4 linked regions of the Struthio camelus genome follow. The protein of the gene in region 1 interacts with the protein of each later gene in a pairwise test. Links are inferred from orthologs where the notes say so. Each region holds a gene or a part of one and is shown in the gene's direction. Other genes may lie near its edges. The genes, in order: ATPAF2, SPG21, LRRFIP2 and FSBP.

Region 1 (7,070 bases):
TTCATCGGCATCCCACTTGCGCGTTAGGAAAGGGTGCTTTTTACTGATTATTTCCCCTTCAAAGAAAGTGGTGAGGGTTGGGTACTCCTAGGAAAGTGGAGAGACAGAAGAGAGAGTTAAGATGTCACCTAAACTCACACAGATAAAGGTGCACAGACTGAGCAAAAAATCAGCATCTCGCAGCAAGACCTTGAGGCAATCTGAGGCTGGTACACCTTTTAAAATCTGACTCGTACACGCACACCCTCCACCCTTTTACTCCAGTCGTCTTTTCACACGCCCCCCACCCCCTTCACTTCATAAAATTAGAGGGAGCCATGTTAGAGCTGGACAGCTGGGAAACTCGTCTGGACGATCAGAAGTGACCATTTGGAGGTAGCACTGCTCCTGAGCTGAAACATGACAGCTAGCCGTGTGTTTGCTACAAACACAAAGTACAAAGGCTAGATTAAGCCACCTCAAAGAGGAAGAGAAGGTGCCCCGAGTAAGCTCTTTAGCTTTGCATTTGCAATGAATTAGGGGTTTGCACACAGGAATACCAGGCTCAGTTGAGGGAAGCTAACTTCTCCAAGCACTTACCGGTAACTGTCTGTGCAGACACATAGTGCACTGCAGCTGAGAGAGTCTGGACTTGGAAAGACAGTCAGTATGAGAACCCGCATAAGATAATGCTCACAATGTCCAACACCATAAGGAGATCTTAGTGGATGGGCATGGAAGGAAGGACTTAAAGATCTGACTTGTTTGTTTTATTTTCTTTTAGCAACACACCACCACTGGTAGAGTATCTAAAGCTGACTTCAAGGTCAGATTCCTGTTCCACTCAGAGCTCAAGAGACACCAGATAAGCCTCCTGCATTCTCTCAGGACTCCCAGCGAGGCCCCTGATACTAGCTTTACACTCCAAGAACAACAGATTGAAGCTATTAGACTACCTAGTGGTCAAATTTACCGTATACTTGATCCCTCCATCCTCTATTTCTGGTGGCAACTTCTCCCCCTACCAGGAAAAAGGAAAGCCTTTAAACAACACCTTTTCTTATGGTTTTGCAATAAACACTCACCTCTGTAAGGCCTTTAATCTTCAAGTATCCACAGAGATAGGAGTTTTCCATATCCACATGCTAGAAGAGAGTGCAAAGTCCTAACATAAGCATGTGCATGAAGGCACCCAATGGATCCAAAACAGTTTCTAAACCTGTGGTCCTCCAACACTCAATTCTGCTTAAACTGGTACTGACTGTCCAGCTTACTGCACAATGTTCACACTGACATCCCCTTTCCCAAGGCTGGAAACAACTTGGACAGATCCTTTTAGAAGTGCCCAGCTCACTTCTGACAGCCTCCACGTCCCAGGCCTGACGACACCTCACCCACTTTCAGCTTCTTCAAACTGAGGCAGCATCTTCTGTCTGGAGGTCTCCAGAGGGAGTAAATCCCCCTTCTCTACCAAGAAGGAACTTGACTCCCAGTTTTCTCAAAGGGAGAGAGTATCACTGGCAGAATCTCTAACACACCCAGCCCTCACCTACCCCAGCCAAACCAGCAACCAAGAGGGGGAAGGGCAAAAAGCATATTTTTACCCAAGACAATTCAGGCTAGAGGAAGAAAGCATCACCCTGAACTTTCCAGTCCACCTATTTAACAGGCCTGAGCCACCTCCTCTCTAACACGCTAGTCTGTACGCTCAGCCTAGTACCCAGGACTGGTGTGCCCCGTCACACACCAAAGCCTGTTCAAAACAGATGTCTCGTGTGTTTTGAAGAGGCCCTTCTCCCAGATCTAACGCTTTCATGTCACCCTTCTTTGAGTTACTTGGCTGCATCTTGCCTCTTCTGCTATGCAGAAACTAGGTAGGGGGCTGCTTCTATTCTGAATGCCTTTAAAGTAAGAAGACTTTCCAAGTTTTTCCCCCCCAACATCTCCAGATGAGTTTTCAAAGCAAGAACTGAGCTATTTTGGGAAGTGTATACATCAGCTATAAGAAGATGGATCTTCCCCACCTGTGATCAAAGAGAAGCAACATTTTCCTGTACTCAGCAGGGGAAGAGCAGATAGCCACCTCTTCTCAGCTGACACGCGCAAAACAGTAGCAATTTTAGCACAAAGCTATAGCCAGTCTCTGGAACAAGGCAGCGTGCAGTGAAGCTGATCAGCCATGGGATGTCTCTACAAGAGCAAGCTGCACCAGGGACACTTGTGCTGTTGACAAGCGGGGGACCATATGTGAAAAGAGACAGTATGGATAAAATGCTACCCCATCTGTTGACCTTGGGACTCTCACGTTACTCCACAACACTGACCCATGCATCAGTCTTTATCACTGCACTTGTTACAAGCTGCCAGGGTCCCACAGATCCTATGCCACCAAGTTGGGAACAAAGCCGTGACCTGCAGAGCACTTTATAGGAAAGCGTGCACCATATGTCTGGCTTGCCTATTTATTAGTAACCCCACACCTCGCCAGCTCTACCTTAAGCAATCATACCAATGTCTAGGACTAAAATTAAAGCACAGGAGGAGACCAAGACCGCAAAAAGGAAAGGGAAAGCTATACCAGCCAGTGCCCTGATTCCCCAGCACACCTGGGTCCAGGCACGTTCCCACTAGAAACAAACCACTGTGCTTTGCCTCAGGCTCCCTGCTCAGCCTGGGATCCTGGGGAAGCATAGGGCACCACAAGGAGGGATCCTTGGGATCTCAGGTCCAGCAGAGCCCTGCTCTGCTAGCCAGGACCTGGATCCCTACTGCTTTCCAGCCAGGCCTGAAATACAGGCTGCCTCGCTGGTATTGACTCCTTGGGACACCACCCACTTTAAGCCAGCCTTTTGCCTATCCTCCCTGGGGCCCAGGGGAGCAGGGCCAGCCCAGGGCTTGAGGGCAATGGGGGAGACATCCAGGATCACAGACCTCAGCAGAGCTGAGGGCAATAGGGCAAGGGAGTGAAGCGAACAGACCCAAGGAAAATGAGGCCACAGTGGTGGGAGGTGGAGCAGAAGAAACAGGCCTGAGGGTAACAGGGCAAAAAGGGGGAGGGGGGGAAGAAACAGGCCTGAGGGTAACAGGGCCAAAGAGGGGGAGGGGAGAAGAAACAGGCCCTGAGGGTAACAGGGCCAAAGAGGGGGAGGGAGAAGAAACAGGCCCTGAGGGTAACAGGGCAAAAAGGGGGAGGGGGGGAAGAAACAGGCCTGAGGGTAACAGGGCCAAAGAGGGGGGGAGAGAGGAGAAACAGGCCTGAGGGTAATGGGACAAAAGGGGGGAGGCGAGGGGAGCCCGAGCTGAGCGCAACGGGGCAAAGCAGGAGGCCAGGCCTGAGGGTAGCGGCCCCTCGCCGGGGCCCGAGGGGGAAGGGAGCAGGGAGGCGGCCCCGGGCCGGAGGGACGGGGTCCCCCGGCGGTTGGGGGCCGCTCGCAGGCCCGGCCAGGCCCGGGGCAGGGGAAGGGAGGCCGGCCGGCCCCTCACCTGCATGACCACCTCCACCTCGTAGGCGTTACCCTTGCTGCGCTGCTGCCCGCGGAACTTGGCGCCGCTGTAGAGCAGCGAGGTGGCCACGCCGGGCTGCGCCGTGTTGATGGGGGGCGGCGGCACCAGGCTGCTGGCGGCCGCCCCGGACGACGGCGACGAGGCCGAACCCGCCGCCGCCGCCGCTGCCCCGCCCGCGCGGCACCGCTCGCTCCGCACCGGCATCTCGGGCGGGTCCCCGGGCGCCAGCGTGGCCGGGGCTGCGCGCGGCCGGGGGCGCCGGCCCGGTCGCCCCCCCCCCTCCTCCCGCCCGCCCCTCACGCTGCGCCGCCGCCGCCGAGGCCGCCGCTCCTGCCTGGCTCAGGGCCTCCCGGCAGCGCCTCCGCGCGCTCCCATTGGCCCTCGCGGGTGCTGCGGGAGGGGCGGCGCCGAGCCGCTATTGGCCGCCGGCGCGGGGCACGTGCCCCTCTCCCAGCAGGCGCGGCCGCGGGCGCTCCTGGGAAGTGTAGTTTTCCTCCCTCCCTCCGCCGTCTCCCCGCAGGACGGGGCGGCCGAAGGGGCAAAACGCGTTCGCGGTGCGGATTGGCTCCCGCGGCGGGCAGCATGGCGGCGCCCGCGGAGCCGCGCTGAGGCGGACGGTGGCGACAGCGGCGGCGACTGCTCCGCGGTTCCCGGCGAGCGCCGCACGGCCGTTGAGTGCCTCCCGCCTCCTCTCGCCGCGATGTGGCGCGGCTGCCGGCGGCTGCTGCCCGGGCGCTGCTCGCCGGCCCGGCGCCCCGGCCCGCCTCCTGCCGCCGGTGGGGCTGCGGTGGGGCCGGGCGGGGGCCGGGCCTACGCCCCGCCGGCAGGTGAGGGCGGACGGGCCCCTCGGGGGCTTCGGGGCTCCCTCTTGGGGGGTCTGGCGGGCCCCTCTGTTTGGGAGAGCCCGTTCCCTCCTCCGCTGCGGGGGGGAGGGGGTCCTCCCGATGGGACCCCCTTCCCCCCCCCTCCCCGGGCCCTGGAGGGCGACTTCCCTCAAGGTCACCCCGGAGCCCTCGCCAGCAGGACGAGTCAAACAGATGGAAAGCGATAAAACTCTCCGCGAGGAGGCTAACGAGCGTTCAAGCACACCCCTCGCCGGGTCTGGGGCTCCTTAAGCCTTTTTAGGTGCTGAGGTGACAGGGCCCCACACGCCGGGCCTCCCCCTGCTCCTATGCCCTGGCTTCAGCAGGGCTGTCACTGACAGCAGGGCTAAGCCCTTGGTGTATTGGTTTGTTATGGTTGCTATTGTGGTTTTGGTGGGTGTTAAGACTTTGTTGGGGGGGGGGGGGGAGCACTCCAGGTGTGGTTCAGGCACACATTGGGCTGTGAGTCACCTCTGCAGGTCTTGCTGGAAAGGTGTAGATATGAGGACGGTAACATTAGTTTTGTTGCCTATGAGAGGAGGCTGCAGGTTTTCAGGACATATATCCTGGGGCTCTTTGGCATCTCAGTGAAATGTCTTCTCTTCGGTACGTGTATGTGAATCTTTTCAAAACTGTGCCCTAATAATTTGGCATTTTTTGAGGCCATGAAACTAGAGTTGGGTCAGCCTGAGCAGATCCTCTTCTGTTTCACTGGTGCTCTGTAGAGGTGTGGGAACGTGCTCGTATGGAGTGGCACAGAAAACAGACCTGCAGCTCAACCTGTTTGCATTACTGTTCAGGAGGTATAGATTTAGGGATTCAGGATTTATGGTCCTGTTGCTCTTGTCCGGGGAATGGTTTGCAGATTCTTCCTGCTTTGAGTGAGAGATGAACCTGTGAAACATCCATTCCCATGCAGTCCAGGCTCTCAGATGTCTGCTGGGAGTGTACGCAACAGTATTGCTACGAAAGGAGGCTGCTTGTAAAACAGTTGTAATTCCCTCAGATTCACCTTGCTGGTAGAGCAGGCTTTCTCCTGAGCAGAGCAGGAGCTGCCAGCGTGGGATGCGTAGGCTGGAGGGAGCCGAGGGAGTGGTTCCTCCCCTGGTGACTCATTTGTATGCTGCAATGTGCATGATGTCCCCAGCATGATCCAGCTGCTATGACATTGCAGGCTACTCTCCTGCAGGATGTCATCCAAGGTGAGAGATGGGGACTGCTGATTGCATGTAGCTCCTGTAACAAACCCACTCCTGTGGGTGACCGTGGTAGAGGGAGCTGTGCCAAAACCCCCGGTGGGGTGCAGTATCTTGCCCCATGCTCTCTGAGCGTGCTGGGAGCTGTAGTTTTTGCTGATGCAGACAGCCGCATCCCTCCATGTGGTGCATCAGCTGCAGGTGGCGGGTCAAAGCAGAGAATGAGCTAAATTCACTGCAGGAGATTGCGTGGGCTGGAACTGTGTGGGTTTGGAGTTGGCAGGGGTGGCAAGGGACACTGCTGGGGCCTGCCCTGCCTTGTGATTCAGTTCTGCTGGGTTTCTTGTCACTCTGAATTGGAACAAGCTGGGAGAGGGAGTTAGCCAAGGCAGTCCAGGAAATTAATTTGTCAAACATGATTGTAATCAGGGAATTTTGAAAGACTGAGCCCAGAGTGAAACTCCATATGGACTGGGGAGGAATGACAAGATAGGTCCGCTTTAGAAACCTCCCCTGCCAGACTCTGTAGAAACCTGCTGAGGGTGAGTTGGAATGGAGCTGAGATCCCAGCCCTGGGTGGCAGAAGCAAAGAAAAGCTGGGCCCATTCACTTGCTGGTTGTGCACAGCAACACTCCCACCGGTTTCATGATGCTTCCCCAGTGGAGAGGAGCTCACTGAAATGATGTGGTGCTTGGAAGCTGTCTGCAAAAAACACTTCAGAGTGCAGTCTATGGCAGTGCCATATTTTTCTCCCTCCCTCCTTCCCCCAACAAAACTCTTGAGGCCAGGACTTCTCCCCCCCTCCCCCCACCATGTGCAGAACTAGACTGGGGAGAGGCTCTTTTGCCTGGGCACAGGCAGTGGCTAGGGGGTTGCCTGGTCCTCTTCTGGCGAGAGGCTCCCTGCAGGCCCCCAGGCTCAGGGTGTGGATGAACGAGCGAGACCTTGTGACAAGAGGCCAGGCCATCTGGGCCTCGACACCACCGAGGGCTCCATCTGTTTTAAGCTGTAGTGGGAATCAGGGGAGGGGACTGAACTTTGCTCTGACTGCCCTTTGAATGGCTCTTGTTTTTGCCCCCAGAAAGGAAGCGGTTTTACCAGAACGTTAGCATCTCGCAAGGAGAAGGTAAGCGTGGCCACTGGGAGAGGAAGGAAGGACTGGGAGGAGGTGTTGGTCCCTGGGGAGGGGGTTATCACTGCTTCCTTAGCAAGACAGTGGCACACCTGCAACCCGTGTCATATGAGTGGGATATTTGTCACCAGCCTGCTTTGTCCTTTCCTCATTTCTAGCTAAACCATGTGGCTGGATTCCAGCTCTGAATCTGCTCCCTCTGTGGGGTTGTCTGTTGTTCCTTAGGGCATGCTCCTCTTTAATTCCCCAGGATTTCTACTCTGATTCTCCAGGAGGCTTTGAAATAAACCTGGACCACCGGAAGCTGAAAACGCCCCAGGCGAAGCTCTTCACTGTTCCCAGCGAGGCCTTGGCTATTGCAGTGGCAACAGAGTGGGACTCCCAGAAGGACACCA
Region 2 (7,537 bases), on another chromosome or scaffold:
ATCAAAGGTTTCAGCAACAGAATTCAACTTTGAATAATCAAATTTCAGTTATTCAAAAATAAGTGCATGTAATCACCTTAATGTTTACCACATTAACAATTGCTTGGATAATCTACAAATGACCCAGAAGTATCCCTTGTCTTCTAACTTCAGGCAGTTCAGAGTTCCATTGCATCACAAACAAACCACATCCCATTCATGAAGCTGGTCCTCAGAACACAATAGCCTCTAGCACATATTTGAAAAGTAAAAAAGACAGACTTTCAAAGTGTCTCCTCATTATACAAACATTTTCATAGAAGTGTCTCGGAGACCGTGGACCACATATGCAGATTTGGATTTTTCATTTGGCATATGCTGACCTTTTATAGACAGACAGATTAATTTAATACAATCTTAATTTTGTTGAAATAGCTTAACTCCAACATGAAAAAAATTCATTGGGGAACTGAATGATCCTTTCCTCCTTTTGCAACAACTTGTAAGGTTATATTTCATGACTAGGCATGACACAAACCAACCTTTATCATTTTCATGCCCATGATTTCAGAATCTTTCAACACAAAGAAATAAACATCTGGAATCCAGATCTTAAATTTCTCTTCTGCTTAAACTAGGCAATTCCTCTACATATCTGGTAATAATTCTGTGACTGTTATCAATGGGAAAAGCTATATAGCAACATCATAACCTTAACCCTAATTCACGTTTTCTACTCTATTAAAAAAAAAAAAATTCTCTCTTTTTTTTTTTGTTAACAGAAGATGAAAATGTTTTCTAAAATAAAATGCAATCTATATGAATGGAAAATGAAGTACAGTCCATTTGCTCTGAGAAAGCTATAAAATGACCAGAACTAACTCCTCATAACATTGATTTAACTCAATTCATCATTTATTAAGCACCATCAATTTTAACATATTTTCAAATTAATGTTTTTTATCATAACCCTACATTAATAAAACGTATATGCAACTTTGTTATCCAAATAATCTGAAGGCTAAGCAGACAATTCTCCAAAGAGCTAAGCCAATGCTCTGTAAAACATTTGTAAAAATAATAAAAAAAATTTTTTAATAACTTAACTGAAACTCTTTTGAATTACAATTAAGACTTGGAATCTTAAAGAAAAGAGGGAGACTTAAAGTTCCTCTTAATTATACTGTATTATATTACTATAATGCAAGAATAGAAAAATATAGGGAAAAAAAGCATTAAGGGCCAGCCTAATTTTACAGGGAAAACTTCTGTAGACCTCCACAAACTTACAACCAAGAACACTGAATCAAATGAAATTTGTTTTATCAAAATATATGCTACCTAAGATATTTGAAATTAAAGGTGATTTTAAGATATTCTTAGCACTAAAAATACAATTTATTAAAATTATAATAGCGTTATTTATGTCTGTAAAACACTGAAGGAGGACTAAAGATCTGCTGCGTGTCACTGCAACACAGAAAAACACCTCACGCTCCACGGGACAAAACTATGAAAATATATACAAATTGCTAAATACCCTCAGTTAAATAGAAAAATATTGGTTCACTTTCACAAGCAGAATAGGGATTAGTTACAGCAACAGAAGAGAGTTTAAGTCAGTTGTGTCCTTTTGACTGAATATGCACAGAGAACTCTGAAAATCAAGAGTGCTAAGTGTACCTTTCAGTAGAGAATAAACTGGGCTGAGCGTTTATCACCTAACAGCTATTAATAAAACAAAACAAGAAACCCCTCCAAAACACACACAAAACCAAAAGACCCCCTCCTCCCTCGACGACCAAAAAACCTAGCTGCATACAACTCTCCTGCAATAGCTTCTCACCCCAGAGAACTGCCTAGGGAGAAAGGCCCAAATACCAATGCAGAGACTGGTCAAACATTTTACCACCAAACACCGCAAAAGGACTAAAGATCATCAGTTTTAAATCAGAGTGCCATTGTGACACAGAAAAGACACATTAAACTATACTGAATAAACTATGAAGCAATACACAAAGTGTCAAGCGCTGAGCTGATACGTGCCACATTTCCTGCTATGCCAATCTACGACCAGAGACATCGCAGCTGTGGGACTGCAGCTTCGGTGTTAGCAGCAGATGTTGCCCAATCAGCACCATTACACCCACTGCGAGCCTGGTAGGAGCCTACTGTTGAAAGAACAATTTGAGCATGATAACTTTCTTTAAAAAACACATGCTCCTCTTTCTCTCACGATGGTCTTAGTTGGTCGGCCATTAGGGTATAATGTTAAACTTACCTTGCCAGTCACACTGAATTGTGAAGGCTGTAAATAGGCTAAACATAACAGTAACATAATTTTTTTCCTATCAGCTTGACGCACAGGGACAAGACTTTCCATGTTTAGCCCATCTACAGGTCTGAATGATATTTTTGACAAAACGTCACTGTACAATTAAATAATGAAATAGGAATAAAGTTATCACAACTACTTACTTCCATAAACACAAACAAGCATAGAAACAAATTGTCAAAAACAATCAACATTCCAGTCCAACGCCTAGCGATTTCCACAGATACTCTGATAAACATTCAAACATGTAACAACTGGCTGGCACAGCAATACTCTCAGATATACCACTGACGGTTAGGTCTTTTTTTGTTTTATTTTTTAATGGAAAGCAAATTTTTCCCAAACACAAACAAATGAAAACAGTAAATCTAAAGAGCGAGCACCAAACATATGAATATTGACAGCAGCAACAGCACCTCTCTGGGGTGTTCAGAGGAGCAGGTTATGAAATAGTTGGAGACTCCTTTACACTTTATTATTTTTTAGTTCACAGATGAATACCATAAGAAATACCAACTTTTGGGTCAAGTCCTCAAATATTTTTAAAGAGCCTACCACCTAAGGTACTCACAGGGAGACTGACAACAAAAGTCTCATCTCTGTCCCAGAAAACACCCTATCTAGTAGGCCAATCCATACACCCTGCATACTCTCAAGTTTGTACTAACTACAGTCAACCTCAGAGTAATACCAAACTTAACTACCTGGCACAGCAGATACAGTGACAACCACCAAAATAAGATTTTAAAAAACTTTCATAGAAAGTTGATGCATAAATAATTTTACTATTCTATACCTGCGTTTTAGTCTCATTTGCCCTTTTACGTGCCAGTTTTGACAAAAGAAAAATATTGATTGTTATCTTTATAAAAATAACAATTCTGAAGCAAATCCAGAACGTTATCTGTTTTAAAGTTTATTGTTTCAGTGGGTTTGCACGAGGCCAGGCAGGCTGGAGTTGGAAGTACTGGCTTAACCCTGTCAGCACGGGTCATGCTGGAGATGTGGCTGCGAACACAACTGCAATGAGTTAACTTACCTCACGAAGTTAAAGAGTCTTCTCTGACTCATTCAGCTATGGCTGAGAGTATCATTTTTCAAAAAAAAAAAAAGAAATGCTGGAAATGTGGCAGCAGCAGAGATTTTCAGCACAGTCTGAGGACTGTTTGCCTTTCAGTCAAAGCAGCATAGAGTATCTCGCACTTAAGACGGACAAGAACATCCCGAAAAGACGCAAAACCAAGAAAAAGTAACATTCCCCCTCCACTGCAGCCTCCAGTAACTATTTTGCCCCGCGCCACTTTCTTAATAACTCGGAAAACAGTTATGTTTCGCTAGCTGAGCACGAGCCCTCACGAGGAACACCCCAAGCTGCAAGAAGCACAGGATTTGTACCAGTCGGTTAATAAAGCGCATTTAAAGGCACAAGCAGCATTGCGCAATCAGCGCTGCAAATCGCCCCCTTTCCGCGAAACCCTCTTTTCGCCACCCCGGCGAACGCCAGCGGGGTAAAGGCGTCCAAGCCGCGGGACCCCCACCTTCGCCACCCGCGGCTGGGAAAATAAAACAAACGCAAGCAGGAGGGGAGGGCGGCGGGGGCCCTCACGGCGGCCCGGCCCGGCGCTGGGGGGAGCGGCGGCCGCAGGCCCCGCGGCGGTGACAGCGACGCGGCCTCCCCTCAGGGAGGCGGCGGGAAGGCGACACCCCCCCTCCTCCCCCTCCCCCGGCCCAACGGCCGCCAGGCCCGCGCGGAGGGCGGTTACCTCTGCGCGCGGAGGGCAGCGTGGAGCCCAGGAGGCGCGCGGCCGCGGCGCAGCTGTGGCAGGCGGACATGGCGCGGCGGCGGCGGCGGCGGCAACGGGCCCGGCCCGGCCCGCTCCCCCCCCCGCCCCCCCCCGCACCGCGCCTGGCGCCGCCGACTAGGCCTCGGTAGCGGCGGCGGCACTGCGCGCGCGCGCGCGCCCCCGCCGTAAACACCCCCTCCCCTGCCCTCCTCCTCCACCGCCCGGCACCGCCTACACTGACGCCAGGGCCGGGCTGGCTTCACCGCGCCCCTCCCATCCCTTCGCCGACTACCGCTCCCAGCAGGCAGCGCGCGCGGCGCCTCGCCCGCCACCGCCCCAGCCGCCGCGCGCTGCCTCCTGGGAGATGCAGTCCCGCGGGTCAGGGAGCTCTGAGCATGCGCCGGCAAAGTGCATCACGGGAAGTGTAGTCCAGGCGTGCGGCCGCGGGGCGCGGCGGCGGCCTCGCCTCCCGCACACAAACGTCAGGAGATTCCTGCCTCTAACTCCAAAATTCCAGATTTTCTTCCCAGCAGCTGTGACGTGCGTTCGTTTCTACGCAGCGTTATTCCCATATCTGTATAGCCTCGGACTCCCCCGTAGGAGGACATAAAGGCCACGCTCCAGGCCGCGTTATCCTTAATTCCTAAAGCGCTCGTAGACCGGTACGGCTCATCAGGAGAACAAAAATTAATCGGAGACCTCAGCAAGCCCCCGCACTCGCTGCGCAGCTCTCGCCCTGCGTTGCTCCAGGGAAACGTTCAAAGCGAAGGCCGACTCCTCCGCACGTGCAACTCCCGAGGCAGGATTTGGGAGACGCAAAGCCCGGTGAAAACCCGCCCGGCGGGGACTGAACACGCGTCTGCTGGGAGGAGGGGAACTTCTCAAACGTGAAACATTTATTATCTGCTTCCAGATTTTAAACACAAGGTAGTATGCGGGAAACACTTCCCATCGACCTCCAAAATAATAAAAACAGCCTTTCACAAGCAGCAAACTTGAAACAGCAACGGAAAACACGAGGCAAATTAGAACAACTTTGGCAGAAAGATGAAAACGAAGCCTCCTGTCCTGGGGTGATCTCCAGTCAGATCAGCGATCACAAAAACGCGTAGAAGCCAAGCAACGAAAACGCATCCTTTAGACAACGCGCCTGCCGCTGGCAGGGACCTGTGGGTGTTTCTGTCTTTCCGCCCTCCTTCAGCTTTCATCTGCCACACACTGATCAAGTGCAGCTCATTGATCCCAGCTGCCTTTCTGAGTAACAGCTCAGAGATGAGAATGCATTACCTGATGGTCTCGCCTACAAACCTGAGCTGCCGCACAGCGAACGCCATTAGACCACGCTAACAGCGGAGATTACACTCTGTACTGCTTGCCTGCGTGTAACAGTATGAATATCGAATGCCATTTTTCATTTCTGCCAAGGTCTGGATGGATTTTAATCCTTGCGAAGTACAGGTTTAACAGCACCACCTGCAGCCAGCACCACCTACTGCCAGGCAACCGCCAACCCCACTTTAATCTGTATTCAATCCACCACCGATTCCTTTCGGGAACTTTTTTTTTTTTTTTGGAGAGAATCAGAGAGGAATAGCAGATTGGAAGGACGTACTGAAAGGCATCGATAAAAGTTATTTATCCTGCAATCACAAATTACGAAAGCCTGGAGAGAGCAACAGCGTCGTCTTGGACAGGGGTTTGCGTGCTGCTGTGAACCAAGGTTTGTCACCGGCTGCCTCGTGCGTTCGGGTGGCCGACAGCAGCAGGCTGGTTATCTCAGTCAGCCCCGGAGCTTCCTCTCAAACGGGAACGGCGTGCTGAAAACAAACCGGTAAAACGCTGCTGATGAAACAGGAGTCGAACTGACGATTTCCTCAGCTTTAGCTGCAGGAGCCTCTTTGCCGCGAGCGGCAGGCAGCGCGGTCGCGCCACCTGACGCAACCGCACGCAACTCCCTTCCACCGATTATTTGAACCCGACGTCTTTTGGCCAAACGGCAACGCCGAAGGTAAAGCGCCCCCTCCCACGGCAGGCGTGAGAGCTGGTCCCCTGGACGTTTTCCCCCTTTTACCTAAAAAAAAAAAAAACAACAAAAAAAATCTTTTTTTCACCCAGGGTCGCCCTGGCTTCAGCCGCAGCTGCCTCCACGGGGTTGCTCCCCGCCAGGGCCCCGAGGGCTCACCGAGGGTCACGGCCCCGTCTCGGCCATAACCTTGAATTTAGCTGTTCCAAAACACGTTTTGTTTGAACGGGCCCAGCCGACCCAAAGGTCCGGGTTTTGCATTGGAGGAACGAGCACCCCGTTAACAACCGCACCAGGGAGCTGGGTAAAACAGGCTCGGTTAAAGTAAGACCCTGAGTTGAAAACAGACCTTTTCACTCACTGGTACTTTTACTTAAATCAATGGGATTTCTCACATATATTTAAAAAAATAAGTCAAATTAAATTAAATCGCCTCCACTGGATGGCAGCAACCCTTGGCACGTAGCCCTCTGCCAAGCAGGGCGGAGCGGCACAACGGCGGGGCCGGGGCGGGGGAGCGGACGCGGCGGCTCCCTCGACGGCCATGGCGGCTTCCCCCACCGGCCCCCCGCAGGAGGGATCACGTGACCCTCCCTTCTGCCTCGATAACAATGGCGCCTCGGCCCGCTTCTTCCGCCTCGGCAGCTATGGCAGCTGGCCGTCTTCCGCCCCGCCCTTGCGCCTCCCCGCCGTCACGTGGCGCGTGACGCCGCACCCGGAAGTAGCGGCGGGCGCCGCCGCTGGGGTGCGCCGGGGGAGGCGGAGCGGGAGAGCCAGGCCCCGGCACCCCCCCCCCCCCTCCCCGCCGGTACCGGGGGTCCCGCGGAGCCGGTAAGGGCGCAGCGGGCCGTGAAGGTGGGGGCTCGTCGTCGCGGGAGCCAGGCTGTCCCTCTCTTCGGAGCCTCCCTGCTCGGGGCTGAGTGGGCTGTGAGGGACCGGGGGGGGCTCGAGGTGGTGTCGGGGGGGCTGAGGGAGCTCTGGGGGGGGGAGTGTGGGGCTGAGGGGGGCTCGAAGGGCTGAGAGGGGCTCGGGGGGGGTGTGGGGCTGAGGGGGGGGGTCCCTAAGGTGCTGAGAGGGGCTCCGGGAAGGGGCTGAGGGGGGTCCCTAAGGGGCTGTGGGGGACTCTTGGGGGGGGGAGTGGGGCTGAGAGGGGCTCCCCAAGGGGCTGAGGGGGACTCTTGGGGGGGGGGAGTGGGGCTGAGGGGGGCTCCCCAAGGGGCTGAGGGGGACTCTTGGGGGGGGGGAGTGGGGCTGAGGGGGGCTCCCCAAGGGGCTGAGGGGCGGGTCCCTGGGGGGCTGAGGGGGGATCCGAGTGGGCTGTCGGGCTTAGGGGGGGGTCTCTGAGGGGGGCTCTGGGGTGGGCTGTTGGGTCGAGGGGGGCTCTGGGGGGGGTTCCTGAGGGGCTGGAGGGGCTCC
Region 3 (7,486 bases), on another chromosome or scaffold:
TACTAAGGGTAAATGAGGTAAAAGGAAAGGCTGAATGAAACTCACTCCTTATGCAGTTAGTTACCTAGCTCTTCCAGAAACCATCTAGTTACATTAGCCTGGACAAGAACAGCTGTGAAATTTGCATATCCCCCACAACATACACCCGTGAGTTTAGGATGCATGTTTTTTCCTCTATTTGATAAATATGTTTTATATATGCAAAAACCTTACAAAGGAAGCCTGATAATAGTCCTTCAGAACTCCAATGAGTTCTACCAAAGATTGAAATAAGAAAGACTTTCATGGTTATGCTCAGCATACAGTCCATATGCATTCTGCCTTACAACTATTTCAAATATTCTCTTGAAGAATAAAATTGTTTCCCATCAGCTCATCCAAGTTATCCAACCTTTTGCCTCTCACTTTGAATATAACTGAAAATCAGCACTACTTTGAATAGTGCCAAGTGCTTCAATAGAGCTGGTACTGAATTTTTAAAAGTACTTTTGTCAGTGCCACAGAATTACCGATTCTTTTGCGACATCTATTAATGAAATGAATATATTTTCCAGTAGCTAAAAATATATTTTACTAGTCTAGTAACCGGATTATAAACTGGCTGGTATCTGTTAAATTTAACTCATGGTAGAAATTGTCTGATTGTTATGTTACCCCAGACCTTAAGAAGAGAAGCTTGGATCCTAACAATTTCTGAGTTTAAAAAAAGGTCCATATAAGATCACATGCAATAGGTCACTGCATAAAGGGAAGGCAGTGCACGTTCTCCTCTTTTTTTTTTTTAATCATATAAATGCTGAGACTGAAAAACATTTATTTAACATGTTAGTGGCTGTGCATCTGATGAAAGGAGCATACGTTTATGAGAAATTAAACAGTATTTGTTTTGTTTTGAAGAGCCTAAAAGGGCTTGGCAGAAGCCTCCTGTAAGTATACCCAATAACTGATTTGAAAAATTAAAAAAATAAAAGTAATTGCTCTCTGCCTTACAAAAAGTTGTTGCCCTTTGTTACAGTGCAGCCCACAAAGTTAATTTTCCACTTGTCATAGTGGAGGGTTTTAACATCCTTTTTGTGGGGTGCAGGGAACAAGCAGTTACTAACAGTGCTGGGAATCTCCTAAAGAGATCTGCTGCTGATGGAAAAAAGTGTGTGTTCAGCAGTTCCAACACTTGAGTGATGGTATCTTTACTGAGAAGATGGAAAACTACAGGAAAGGAAAGAGACAAAATGGGGAAGGAGAGAAATAAGTGCACTGAGGTAGGGAGAACTTCTTAAAATGATACATTAATCCAATCTCTCTCGATCAGTGAACCAATCTACCAGTTAAGCAAGCAGTTGGAAGCTATTCTCTGCATAAGAAGGACAAAGAGAAAGTGAGACAGGATTAGGAAGGACACAAAAGGGAAAATACATGGAATCGCATCAGGGATTAAATTAGATTATAATCCTACATGTGTACCATCACAATTGAATTCTTAGCCAGAAGCTATAATTCCATAAACAAGTAAGTAAAGCTTCACGGGAAGGTAAGAAACACCAACAAGAGGGACAAAAATAAGATATTCAAAACTTCACAAATAGTAAACATAACTCGGGAAATTTTTTAGTGAATTCTCTCTTATCAAAGTTATTTCAGTGGGAAAATCTCTTTTAAACTGTATACAAATTATTGCAGCAAGCTGACACCAGTAACTGTTATAATATTTCAAACAACTGAACTACAGATTCATCTTGGATACGCTTTTTTCAGTGATCATCACTCTAAGCAGAATTAAGATTTCACCCACTGTATGCCTCAACTGAGCAAAACAGTTTTAGAGGTGGCCTTCTAGAGAAAAGGGAGAGAGTAAATCAGCAGGTTAAATTGTGAAGATGAATTTACACTAGCCTACCGTATAATATGACAAGAGTGAAGAGAAAATATATTCAAAGGCAGTTCCAGTAGTACTTCATTTACTTTGCAGTAGTTTCAATAAGAATTTGGTCAAGGAAGAGTCATAAATCATTCTTTATATTGTAACTGCAGCCATTTCACAGCAAAAGTTCAAATGTAAATCTCATTTGCTGGCTTCTAATTAAAAGTCTATAATGAAAATTTATTTAACTTGACTGTTTAACTACTCTCATTAATGATGCTGAACTGTGAATTGCTACTGTGACATCTTGTACCACTGCCTGTGGTAACTGCACTGTGTATACACTGTACTGTGCACTGCTTTTCAGAAAAGTAAACAATTGCTCTTTCAAGCCACAAAAATGCATGTCTGCTCTCAAGGAGACATGCTTTTTGCTGCATCATTAAAGAAAAATGTGCTGCCTGTGATATCAGAAGACCAAACGTATGCAAATCCCAACGCTTCATCAGAGAAAAATGTACAAACAATTGAAAATGTTTTTCCCCTTTATTTAGCAATATATTGACAGAGAATCATCCCACACGAACCTGGGAGATCCCACATTTCAGAGGATTCGACACAAACCCTTCACACCAATATCATAAGCTCTCAAGAGGGAACGAAATATTTCTGCTACCAGCTAAAACAAACCAGAATGGCCTGAGACAAGAAGACTTTCTGCATAAACCCCAGCAGATCAGGAGGCGAGTCTTTCTGTAAGAACAAGCCTCAAATAAAAATGCAGTTCTTAAGACCGTACTTTGTTCTTGTCTTTACTGCTAATGTTCCAAGAGAACCTTTTGTGTCTGCAACTTTTTGCTGCAATGAGATCATCATCTATTACTGCAAAAATTAATGTGATGTTAAAATAAGCATGGTGTGGCTATGCTGCATGATCAAGTGAACAAGAAGGCTGAGGCAGTATGGAGTTTCTCAAACAGAAAGTTTTAAAATATTAAAGTCACGGAAGGTGTTTCATGTCTACTGTAAGAGATTTAATTCACTTGCACGTCCTTCTTTGCTTTAGGCTCATCCACTTGCACTTATTTTAGTAAAACAAGATCCGACCTCTGCCAAGGGCTCTTGGGAATATTCTTGATTCCTATGGCTAGGTCTGTCATTTCGGTCGTGCTTTTTCACTTCCATGTGGTTTCTAACATGTGAAATGCCATTTCCTCACTGATCACCTCCAGCTAAGCTCTTCTAGTCACCCTGCACCCAGGAATAGACATGTTGAAAAGTAAATGACTACAGATCTGATCCAAAGTCTGTTACAGCAGATTCTCATGAATGTTAATTAGCTCTTTGTGTTTAAGCTGGAATATATTTTATGGTATAGTTTTTCTCTTTTCCTAAGAGATTATCTTAAGAAAATGTGTTATCTTATCCTCAGGAACTTCTTTGTTGATATATAGAATTTAGTAGCACAGAAAGCCAGTAGTGTTTGGGATGTTATAAGATAAGGTGTAAACGCTTATATGGGATTTCTTCCCATAAATCCTGCCTGGCACCCATCCACGTAAGGCTTCTGACAGCCTCGCGCCGAGCGCCACATAGAAAGAGTGGCAGCAGGGCACCAAACTTCCCGGGCGGTGAAACCCCCGGGGCCGTTGTCGGGGCCCCAGCCGGGGGTGACTCTTGCTGTTCGCCTGTCAGTTTTGCGGAGGGACTTGAGGCTTCTCAGGATCTCCGCGTATTGCTCCCTGGGGAACGTCCCTTGGTACAACAAACCAGAGTTAATTTTAGAAACAAATCAAAAGGGAGGGGGGAAGCCAAAAGCGCCGCCGCGGACCTACCTCTCCCTGCCCCAGCAGTGACTCAGCCGGTCTGCCCGCTGATAAGGAGCCGGGCTGACAGGCGCCCAGGGGCGCGGCTCGGCTCGGCACCTGCCACAAGCCCCTTTGCGGGAAATCCCCGTGCTGCCTGAGCTAAAGAGGCTCCTCAGGGCACCGACACCCCCCCCCCCGGCCTCGCCGCGCAGCCCCAGCCCAACGGCAGCCTCCCCCCCCCCCCCCCGCCGGTGCCGCCACCACCCCACAACGGCCGCCGCCCGCCCGTTCCTGCGCATGCGCACGCGCCTGCCTGCCCGCCCGCCGTGCCGCCCCTTCCTGCCGGCCTGCGAACGCTGCGCTTGCGCAGTGCGCCCCGCCCACCTATGTAAGGGGGCTCGGGGCGTGGGGGGGGGGGCGAATGCACGCGTGCCGGGTGGCCTCGGCGGCGAGGGTCACGCGCCCCTCCCGTAACGGCCGCCTCGCGCCCTCTCCCCGGGGGAACCTTGCGAGCAGTTTGAAATTAACCGCTGTTTCCTACCGCGTTCGCGATGTGGCTGTAACCGCCCGGCATTGAAGGGGAGGAGGCAAGAGAGCGGGGCGGGGAGAGAAGGGCGGCCTGGAGCGGGGCGGCTCGTCTTTGCCCAAAGCCCAGGTTCCTGCCGTTCTCTCACAGGGGGAGGCGGGAGGGTGAAATAAGAAAGCGGCCGCTTTGCCAAGGCCCGCGGACGGTCCGTGCCCGGCAGCACCCCTGCTCGCCCTCGGGCTGCTCCTGCTTTCGTCCCTTGGATCTCGGGTGTAGGGAGTGAGGATAGGAAGGACCCCGAGGCGGTTGCGGGACCCACGAGCCCCTCGACACCCGAGGATAGGGGGTGGAGAGGAGAGCGAAGCAACCGCCCCTCCCTATTAGGCGTTCCGGTGCTGCAGCAGGCTGGCCCTCAGGTAAGGCTCCTTGGGGCCCGCGCACGAAGAGGGAGGGGGCGGGGGGGGGAAGGGTGTCACATGCGTACAAACCCGGACGGGGCGGGGAAGCTGGGTGGGAACCTGGTCCTTCGGGTTTGAGAAGTGGGGAGGACACGGCTCTTCAGCCGGGACTCCCTTGCCAGGTAGGTGAAGAGAAAGGGAAAGAATAAAGGCAGCAGCTTCACGCTCTCTGGCCAGTGTCAAGACTTGGTGTGGATGTAGCGGGGAAAGGCACGGCCGACCGACCGACCGACCCCTTCCGGCGTGCGGTTCCCACACTCCGGGCTCGATCCGTTTTCCCTGCTCCGCAGGCCTGCGGGAAGGTGTCATTGACACACATACACACACGCCCTTCCCGACTGTGTGTGCTCACCTCGAGGTTGAGTGGAAAAGGCAGAATGAGGGAGAGGGAGAGAAAGGAAAGTGTCCCAAAATCACGGCTGCTCGTGTTTCAGTGCCCTTTCTCTTTCATGCCTCCTCAAAGCATATTACCGCTTCTTCAGTGTTTCCGAAAGTGGCAGGGCGTACTCCCTCAGCCAAGGGTTATGGGAAGGTTCAGGCAGGCTTTCTGCTTCTTTTTTAGCTGGGCTTTTTTGGTTTCAAATCACACTTACTCTGTGTGTGTGTGTGTTTTTTTTTTTTTTTCTTAATATGCTCTGCTGTTATAATTGCAAAGAAAATATTGTGATATTATCTGATCTCAAAAGAGATCAGTGCCTTCCTGAGTTTGGAAGAAGCCTGAAAACATAGCTCTGGGCTGTGATCTGCCTCATACATTTGAGGGTTGCCAGTTTAGATCCTAAGATGATACTTTCACCAATAACAAAAACGTGTTACAATGAATCTGTATAACCTATTCAGCGACTCCCTCATTCTGGAGAGACCTCTAACTATCTTAGGCTTGAAATGAGGAAGAAGGTGTATGATCAATTTTATTGCTTCAAAGTGACAATTTTATCTTCCAACATCTTTGGAGATCTTGTGGCCTTTTTTTTTTTTTTTTTTTTTGTAGTTTTCCTGTAAGATCAAATCAATGCTTGTCTTGTGAGTTCTTTAAACTTTCATTGCGTCTTTGCTGGCAACTATTTAAATATATGACCTTTGGGGCCCAGAAATAGATAGCTTTTTAATACATGCCTGCTTCCCTAGTTAATGTAATTGCTTAGTGATGATGTGAGACTAGACGGAAGGTGCTCTAGCAATATGAAATACTATTTGACAGACATGACATGCTGTACCTAATGTTTGTGTTACTTGGGCTTAGAAATGTTTACCTTAGAGTGTGAAGTCAGTTTTACCTGAACTGAGCTGTCTCTACCTGAGAACTTGTGAATATAGGAAAGTTTTGTGAAATGTGTGAGGTGTAAGTTTGTTGCCCTTAAATGTCAGTAACTTTTATGAAATGACTCCAAGGGAAAGAGCTCATTTGCATTGCAACTCTTATTACACAGATGACAGTATTTTAACATATGCAAATTTTAGAAAGCACAGTTTAAATTGGAATCCAAGTCATAGGGCTTTGTGTATGACATGTTACACTTTTATATAGAAAACAAACCAGACTTTCATATAGTTAGTGTGAAAATTGTAGCGCCAATATATCAAATGGAAAAAAAAAAAAAAAACCTCTAGAATAGTGTAACATATATATACCTCCAATAGATAATGCTAGCAGAGAATGAGAAACCAGTACCTAAGAGGTTTGATACTGACTATGTTGTTGGCTGTATTTGTAAAATCCTGGTGTGAAGTGGTGTGGTGATACTTACAGGGCTGTACAGTTCAGTAGTATGTGCTAGTGAGAGAGAGCTTTCTGAGAAAATAATCAGGTTTATTATCTTGACTTATCTGGATACTAAGTAACGTGTAATTGTACACAATGGACAGATGGTTTGTTTATGTACTCTTACATATCCTACAAAGTTTTTAATGTATCGTGCAAAATGTTTTATGTAAATATTACTGTGTGGTTTTGAAGGTGATAAAATTCATTATTATTATTTTTATTGTGTAGTCATGTATCATTAGAGCTACTGCAAAAGGAGAGGTGAAGGAGCACCACCCATAGAGGCCAAATGGGAACAAATATTTCTAAGCCTACTGGCTGCTATCTCAGTAGAGAGTTAGAGTTATGTCAGTTGATGAAGCAGCAGCAGGTGGAAAAAGCTCTAAGGGATACCCAGGCAAAATTGCCCTGCTTGATGCTGTAGTGTTTCTTCACTGTACTGAACTGTAGCAATAGTAAAAAAAAAAGGGTGTAGGCGTTTTCTAAATAGGAAATTGTTAATGGAAAAATATCTTAAATAGTTGCAACTTGTTACTGAATGTGGGCTGTTACCATGGGGCTCTTTGTTTGTTTAATTCATTAAAAAAACAGAGCCTCAATATAGTAGCAGTATGTTTTTTTTAATGAGTAATAGATCTTTCTTTTGCAAAATGACACAAGGATACTCATTTTGAAAAAGCTGACAGTGTAAAAATGCTGTCTGCTTCATTTTAGAATAAACACTTAAACAGGATTCTTCTGACTTTGTTTTTTATTATGCATTCCCACCACTGGTGCTGATTATTAATGTTGCCATTTCCTCATATTTTAAAATCACAGTTGATTTCTTAGTCTGTTTCTGGAACTTCAGCACTACAGGAGCACTGATTACAGAAACGTCCAGCTGTGCTATACCACTTCTCTGAAACCTACATATGCTTCACGTTGTGCCCTGAGCTATCCTTTGTGAATGGCCATTATGAGAGCTTTACAGATATTTCTCATCTCTGGTGATTATATCCTGTACCTAACACTTTATCATAATGTGAAGTAATAGTATCTGCAAGTGCAGCTGTTGGCAACTGACTGACA
Region 4 (6,975 bases), on another chromosome or scaffold:
TCGCTCTGAAGGTATGAAAGAAAAATGAGCTGTGCCTTGTTCATAGGACTGAAGCAGGAGGTATAGAAGGCAAAATGAAGTGATGTGTAAGAGTGTAGGTACAAGTATTTTCTTCAGCAGTGATGAGAATTTCCTCCCCATCAGCTATGGGTTGCTGTTCCCTCGGTGATGTCAGTACAAGTGTAAGTGTATGTAGGGCTGTATTATAAAACATATCCCTAAAATCATCCAGATTGAAAAAGCTTCTTTGGATGCTATATGTATTTCTTTTGTGCTGGTTCTTTGTCCTGTGGCATACTGGATCGGGGGACTGATGCTGCTTAAAACTCACCCGGCTTAGAAAAACGATTAATTTGCAGACAAATCAGTTCCCTGGTCTGACTTGCTCGGAAGCTTTTAAAGTGCTAATATCAGCACGGTGAAGGGAGCAGGAACGTGTCAGAGAAGGGTGGTAGGAGAGGACTGCCTGGTTTGGCAGTGTGTTGGTGGAAGGTATAGGAGGGACTGTGGCAACAGTTTTGGTTTGTGGGTTTTGTTTTGTAGTTTTCTTGGAATTACACCTATTGTTTTGGCTGAAAGAAGTCTTAAATGTTCATTAAAATCCAGGCTTTTCACCTTCTGTGATTTCTCATCCAAGTACTGACATGACCTTAGGCTGATGAGCAGTGATTTTTAAGAGCAAAAAGAAAAAATCTTGGTTGGCAGCCAGCTTCATTTTTACGAGGGTTATTTTACACTCCTGCGGAACAATAGTAATTCAAACTCTGATTCCTTCAGGCACTTGCTCAGAACAAATCATTGTAGTGGCATATTGCTAAAATTGCATTAGTGTGGAAACTTGGTCTCTCTAGCAACATTAAGCAGTAAGGTGATAAAATAACACAACTTCAGGTAGGTGTATATTAGGAGTTCCTGCACCTGGTAGCCCAATAGAGACAACGTGGCTACAGTTCCATGTTGCCAGGTCCAGCCTGCAGCAAGGATGAGAATATGTTCCCAATAGGCACACATACGCACGATACATATATACATATACACATGGCTGGCCCAATAGACTAACACAGAAACCACAGCACTCCCGCAAACACAAACAGCACCAGGGCCTCATCCTTTCCTCTCTATGGCTGATCAGGATGAAAGCCTGTTTGTGGAAAATTATATATATGCTATGGATTCCTCCAGCAACTGCTGTTAGACACTTATTCTACACAGTAGCTGGCCCCTGGATCCCCTGGTCTCCTGGTTGCCTCACGCACAGATACAAACCTGTAATGGGTCTTTCTGGTAACTGGTCCAGACTTATGACCTTACCAGCAGGCAACCTCCAGGCCTCACAGTCTCTCTAGTAACTGGCTTGGATGTCCTGGTCCCTACAGTAGCCAACTGTCAGACCCCTCTGGTCTCTGGACGTACGTCCTGATGGACGTACGTCCATCAGGCTGTATAAGGTGATCCGGAGAGCTTCTCCCAGTGACTCCTCTTGCTGGGCTTCATCCCAGTCCATGGGGCCTATGGTGTTTCTGCGACAGCCCAGGCAGCAGCTGGGGCAGGGGCCTCTGCTCCTTTGGTTGGGGTTGGTGAGGTTCCCAGCCTGTCACCGCCTGTTTGGCGGTGCTGCTTTGTGGTTGCGCAGAGGAGCCTTTCCTCACACAGCTTGAGATTAACTTTTTTTCCATCACTAAAATGTCAAGAGATTGGGTACTGCACAACTGCTTAAACATCAGAGGGTGCAGTGTAAACTTTTTTGTGACTCCTTAGTTCTGATACTGCCAACAGGTTAAAATGTGAGGCATATTCTAATTTTCTGTTGCAGCTGCTGAAGAACGCGTCAATTTTTAAAATGATTGTTAGGAAAAAAAAAAAGCCTATTCTACCCTTAATGTTAGTAAAGAGAGAAGTGTGTGGGGATAAAGGGAGGGCAGGGTGATTAAATGCAGTGGTTTTCATAAAGTGCTTCTAACCACATGTCGTGGATGGAGTGGGGAGTGAGGCACTTCACTTGGTACAGAGAAGCAACAATGTTTTATTGATTTAACAGAGTACAATTGTGAATAAGATAGCGACTTAACAAGGGTCAAATGGCAAGGTTCACTAAAGTTATTTACTGCGTGGAGGACAGGGTCAGGCGACAGTGTCAAGGAGACCCTCCCGTTGAGTCGTGAGGTTCAGAATGGACCCAAGGGATCCAGTCCTAGTCCCAGACTTGGTCAGCAGTTTATATCTAAGGTTTATGTGCATGGGCAATCAGAGATACGACTTAGCAAGGTCCGCAAAGCAAGCGGCAAGGAGGCCTTCCCGTTGAGTCATGAGGTTCAGAATGGACCCTCCAGATGGATCCAATCCTAGTCCCAGACTTGGTCAACGGTTTATATCTAAGGATTATATACACAGCAAAATTTGCCAAGTAGATGTCAGGGAGACCAAGACTTAGTCTAAGCTTTGTGCTTAAGGTTTGTGTGTACAATCAATCAGAGAGGTAACTTAACAAAGTTTCAAAGTTTTAGCATGCTATCAGTGTCACTTACAGAGGATCTATTGCTGGTAAGGAATCTCTGGACCTCAAGGAGTAACCTTGAGAGGCGTCCCTGCTCAAGAGGAGGTTCTGCAGTGCAGCCCACTGCCACGCAGGAGAGCTCAATGGGCTCTGGACCACCCCCTCTCTATGGGGGTAAGATGATTGACTCATTGTCATATTTGCATTCTAAATGGTGCTCAGTTAGCCCCTGTCCAGGTGCTGTTTATGAGGAGGTGATGTTTAGGCTGAGGGGGGAGAACAGCACATGGGCGGTGGAGGGGAGAAGCGTGCTGTCACACCACATGAGTATTTTGTTTCTTCAGTTCTATTGAAATGGACTTCAGACTATAACATGCTTTATTTAATCTCGACTTGAAAGCAATTCCAGCAAAGCAGACTGGGCAAATTTTGTTAGGTGGTATGGACAAGCCAAGTTTCAGAAATTGTTTAAAGCATGCTGGTATTCTAAATGGGAATTGACTTTAGCAGTTAAAGTCTCCCTTTGTTTAGTTGAATTTCTTGGTTTGAATATGACTTGTGTCTGCTTTGGGTTTGTTCCCCTTTGAGCAAACAAGTTCATACCTAGATCTTTATTGCCTTAAGATATTTCAAACTATAATTAGATTTCTCTTTTGTGTGACCCCTCCCCCCCTCCTCCCCCCCCACCCCCGCCCCAGGCTCCCTTGGTTTCAAGGCTGAACATGTTAAGCTTGAGAAGCCATCGCCACTATCTCAAATTGTGTTTGTTTGCACCCTCTGGACTCTTTCAATGATGTACATAATTTTTCAGACTTAGTTTTTGCTTTGTGTATTTGTGAGCACCTTTTCTTATCTCTGCAAGTTCTTCTGTTTCTGAGATTTGTTGATTTAGTTTAGACCACGGGTATTTAAAGCCTTGTATGCCTTTCTGTGTTAAAACTCGGCTTAAGGTGATGTATTTTTGAGCAAACATTAGAAATGCATGAACATAGCGTGCACATCTTGTTACTAAAAATCAGATTTTATCTGGAAGGAATGCCTGGAAGTGTTATCATAAAAGTAGATTGTTTCCTGGTGGATATTATGAAAATCCCAGTATCCACACACTATAATGCACTCCATAAATCTGTCATGACTGAATGTAACCTTTATTACATGTAGCCCGAGAGTTAGCTCATGCCATTTCTCAGTCACTGCGGCCTGACTGGCGATGACACATGCATTAAAAGGCAGGCGTGTTATAGCAGGGCACAGCTGCAGGCTGAAGTTACAATAAAAAGCTGATTCAGTGCTCGTGCTGTGGTGTTTGGGGGGTTTTTGTTTGCTTTTTTTTTTTTTTTTTTTTTTTTTTTTGCTTTAGCCAAACGCTTGGCCGTGAGTAGAAGCTGCCTCTTTAAGAAGCCTCTGTGTAGGTAGCGGGAGCAGGCTGCGAAATGGAGGAGAAGCTTAGCTTTGCTGCGAAGCCCGAGCCCGAGTGTAACCTAACTAGCTAGAGGATATGCGCTGCCTGATTGACAGCAGGACCAGCATTATGCAAATGCTGTAAGCGAGCAGCAGCGAGGGAGCCGCGACCAGGGGCTCTGTTAGGGATCTCTCTACGCACGCCATGCTTATCGCCCTGTAGTTTTTCCTTCCTCCTCCTGCTCGGTTAGGAGTCTACACGTTTTCCCCAAACAATTGTGGCAGTTTTTGGCCATCGGTACAGGCAGAATCCCGAGTGCAGTTTCGGTTCGAGATATGTGTGAGGGAGCTGGAGATATGTGTCAGAGCTTGTTACTCAAGCTAAATTAGGTAATTTTTAGCTGGGTAATGTGCTAATCTTTAAACCTTTATGTTTTTAAATCCTATGTATGTCTGGGCTCTTCATACAAAAGTGTATTTTGCTTGTTTCTTCTCGTCGTCTTCAGTCTGAAGCCTTATGTAGGTCAGGCTTGGCTTAAGCAGATTTCCTGAACCTGCGTCAGCTTAAGCTGAAGGAATTTTAATAAACCCTCCCTTGTAGGCGTGGGCCTAAATGAGACTAGCCTAGTTAAGCCTGATCTTTTTCTGTTTGTGAAAAAGAGCTGAGCAGAGCTAGGGACTGCATGGTGGCTTCAGGAACTGCTTCCTTAATTCAAAGATAACAATGGTTGGGAAGGCCAGATCTTCTAATTTTACCTTATCTGAAAAGCTTGATTTGCTAAAACTCGTGAAGCCGTATGTTCAAATTCTTGAAGAGCATACCAATAAGCATTCCGTAATAGTGGAAAAAAACAAATGCTGGGATATCATAGCTGATAACTACAATGCCATCGGAGTAGATCGCCCTCCTCGCACTGCACAGGGCCTGCGCACGCTGTACAAGAGGCTCAAAGAATATGCCAAACAGGAGCTATTGCAGCAAAAGGAGACTTATTCAGACTATAAAAGCAGCATTTCCGAGCCAACCAAGAAAGTTGTGGAGATGATTCCACAGATTTCCAATGTGTGTTTAAGAGAAAGGAGCATTTCACAAAGGTGAGATAATTTTTTTTTTTTTTTTTTTTTTTGCTGAATGAAAATTATGGCGCCTCCTACCTACTCTGTAAGGCTTTTCTTAACTTGTGTTCAGTGTCCTAAAGAAAAGGCTTACAAGAGAACACCCCAAAATTGGGAGCAATGACAAAATAGTATTTCTTTTGTTTTTATGGTAAGCTTTATGGTGACTTAGCACTGCATTCATTTTTCAGCTCTGGTTCAAAGCCTGTTTCAGAGTCTTTGTCATACTCTGGAAAGTGAGGGTTAAGAGGGAATCAAAGAGAAATAGTAGCTCTACCCCTCCCCTACCTTTTAATAGGCAGATTATTCAAACACTGGCAAAGTGGTGGCTATTCTCCTCCATTTAAGGTAATACTGCAGTCATTTTGCAGCATATGGAACAATTACTAGTTTATATAAGATGTTTAATAAAGTTAGTTCATAGAATTAAGAAGCCTTGTTCCTATACCTTTTTTATCTCATTTACTGTGATGTTTGCATATTATATTTTAACTGATCCTAATCCTTAAAGAAAAAATTGAATCCCTACACCACAGTGTCTTTGTGAGTGCAAATGTATTTTTAAATTATACTTTTCTTGCACTGACGGTCATTCTCTGAAACTGGAGCAAAGCTAATTGCAGTCTAAACTCCAAGTACTTCTGTATTGTGTATTAGATAGCTTAAATAAAGAGAGAAACTGAGAGGTACAGCAGCAGAAGTTTCCTTTTTTTTGTAGGTTTTTTTTTTTTTTTAACTGCTCAGTAAAGTGAGACACACTGTCTAGATTTGAGCCAGACATAATACAAGCAGGCAGCATGCAGGCTTTCTCACACAGCTGGCTAATGCCCCTCAGCTCTGACTTGCAACACTCTGCTGGTTCTGTATGGGTCCTGGAGGGATCAAAAAATGCCTGGGTCAGGTTTTGGTTCCACCAGATGCAAAAACTAAGATGGGGAGGAGGGAGGGAAATTCAAACCACCTCACAGCAATCTTGAGAAAGCTCTGATTTTTTTATTATTTTCACTAGCAGATTAATGGAAGTGAACTTGCCGTATTTTAATCAGATATACTGATAGCTGGTGCAACAGCTAAGCACTCTTAAGAGAAGCTGGCATGCGCATGCAGGATGAATTTGATTCATGGTGCCACTGGTTGAACTGAATGCTAACAATTGTCTAAATCCCAATGTGCCAGATGCTCTAAAAATATGCTGTTGTGGGTCCTGGCGTAAAGAAGGCTGAGGCAACTGGGCTGTGCTGCTGGTGAATGCCCTTGGAGGAGCAGCTCCAAAGGAGACTCTGGAACAAAACAGGGCTTTTAATTGCGCTAATAAAGGTTGCAGTGTCTTGGCTACCAACTTTTTTGTAAGGAAGAGGGAAGAGGAGGGGGGAAAAAAAAAAAGTTGTATGAGAACTTAGGTTTGTAGATAGGCTCATGAAAAGCAGTGACGCTTTTTATGAATGGTTGAGAGCTAATGATCTCCATAGTTTGTCTCCTATAATTTAAACATTTTTTGCAGTCCGTTGTGGCTCTAGGAGCATTGACTTGATTACTGCTCACCCAAAGTGTTTTTTCCTAGGATCAACCAATACAGTATGTGCTGAAGAAATGGAATATCATTTAAATATTTTGTTTTCTGCCCAAATATATCATTACTTTTATAGTTTTAATCTTAACTCTGAGTTACATTTTCCCCTGATTTTGAGCAGTATATTAGACTTTAACTCACTAAAGCATGGCTTAGGTTTTTGGAGGGAAGTACGACTTATGAATCCAAATTCTTCATCGCACCTTTAAGTGATTTCTGGCTTACTGTGATTAAATGAAACCTAGTGAATCATGGGTGTCTCTGGGGTTATAAATACCATCCCCCAATTGTGGTAACTGTTGTTTGTCTGTCTTTCAGTCAAGCTGTCAGAAACAACATTTGTAACCACCATACAGGAGTTTCTTTTGTTTCTCAATTCCTTCTTTCTCTCCCT

What was found.
Region 2: the proteins of ATPAF2 (region 1) and SPG21 interact in binary tests that used the Homo sapiens proteins (3 or more experiments, as listed by UniProt). The two-hybrid records come from large-scale screens. The link is inferred for Struthio camelus from reciprocal best matches to the Homo sapiens genes ATPAF2 and SPG21.
Region 3: the proteins of ATPAF2 (region 1) and LRRFIP2 interact in binary tests that used the Homo sapiens proteins (3 or more experiments, as listed by UniProt). The two-hybrid records come from large-scale screens. The link is inferred for Struthio camelus from reciprocal best matches to the Homo sapiens genes ATPAF2 and LRRFIP2.
Region 4: the proteins of ATPAF2 (region 1) and FSBP interact in binary tests that used the Homo sapiens proteins (3 or more experiments, as listed by UniProt). The two-hybrid records come from large-scale screens. The link is inferred for Struthio camelus from reciprocal best matches to the Homo sapiens genes ATPAF2 and FSBP.

What each region holds. Positions count from the first base shown.
Region 1 is NC_090956.1:3,742,140-3,749,209, forward strand, and holds the start of ATPAF2 (ATP synthase mitochondrial F1 complex assembly factor 2), read left to right. Parts: upstream 1-4,067; 5' UTR 4,068-4,183; coding exon 4,184-4,310; exon of another isoform or gene 4,311-5,508; coding exon of another isoform or gene 5,509-5,548; exon of another isoform or gene 5,549-6,624; coding exon 6,625-6,669; intron 6,670-6,900; exon of another isoform or gene 6,901-6,925; coding exon of another isoform or gene 6,926-6,947; coding exon 6,948-7,070. Other genes in the region: GID4 (glucose-induced degradation protein 4 homolog), read right to left, coding at 1-87, 1,065-1,124, 3,463-3,687. UniProt on the Homo sapiens protein: Plays a role in the assembly of the F1 component of the mitochondrial ATP synthase (ATPase).
Region 2 is NC_090953.1:4,122,588-4,130,124, forward strand, and holds the start of SPG21 (maspardin), read left to right. Parts: upstream 1-4,527; 5' UTR 4,528-6,106; intron 6,107-6,822; exon of another isoform or gene 6,823-7,003; intron 7,004-7,537. Other genes in the region: CLPX (ATP-dependent Clp protease ATP-binding subunit clpX-like, mitochondrial), read right to left, coding at 4,078-4,147. UniProt on the Homo sapiens protein: May play a role as a negative regulatory factor in CD4-dependent T-cell activation.
Region 3 is NC_090943.1:54,265,136-54,272,621, reverse strand, and holds the start of LRRFIP2 (leucine-rich repeat flightless-interacting protein 2), read left to right. Parts: upstream 1-4,470; 5' UTR 4,471-4,608; intron 4,609-7,486. UniProt on the Homo sapiens protein: May function as activator of the canonical Wnt signaling pathway, in association with DVL3, upstream of CTNNB1/beta-catenin.
Region 4 is NC_090943.1:149,104,702-149,111,676, forward strand, and holds the start of FSBP (fibrinogen silencer-binding protein), read left to right. Parts: upstream 1-3,960; 5' UTR 3,961-4,619; coding exon 4,620-4,990; intron 4,991-6,975. UniProt on the Homo sapiens protein: Transcriptional repressor that down-regulates the expression of the fibrinogen gamma chain. Represses transcription of GSK3B gene promoter via its interaction with APBA1.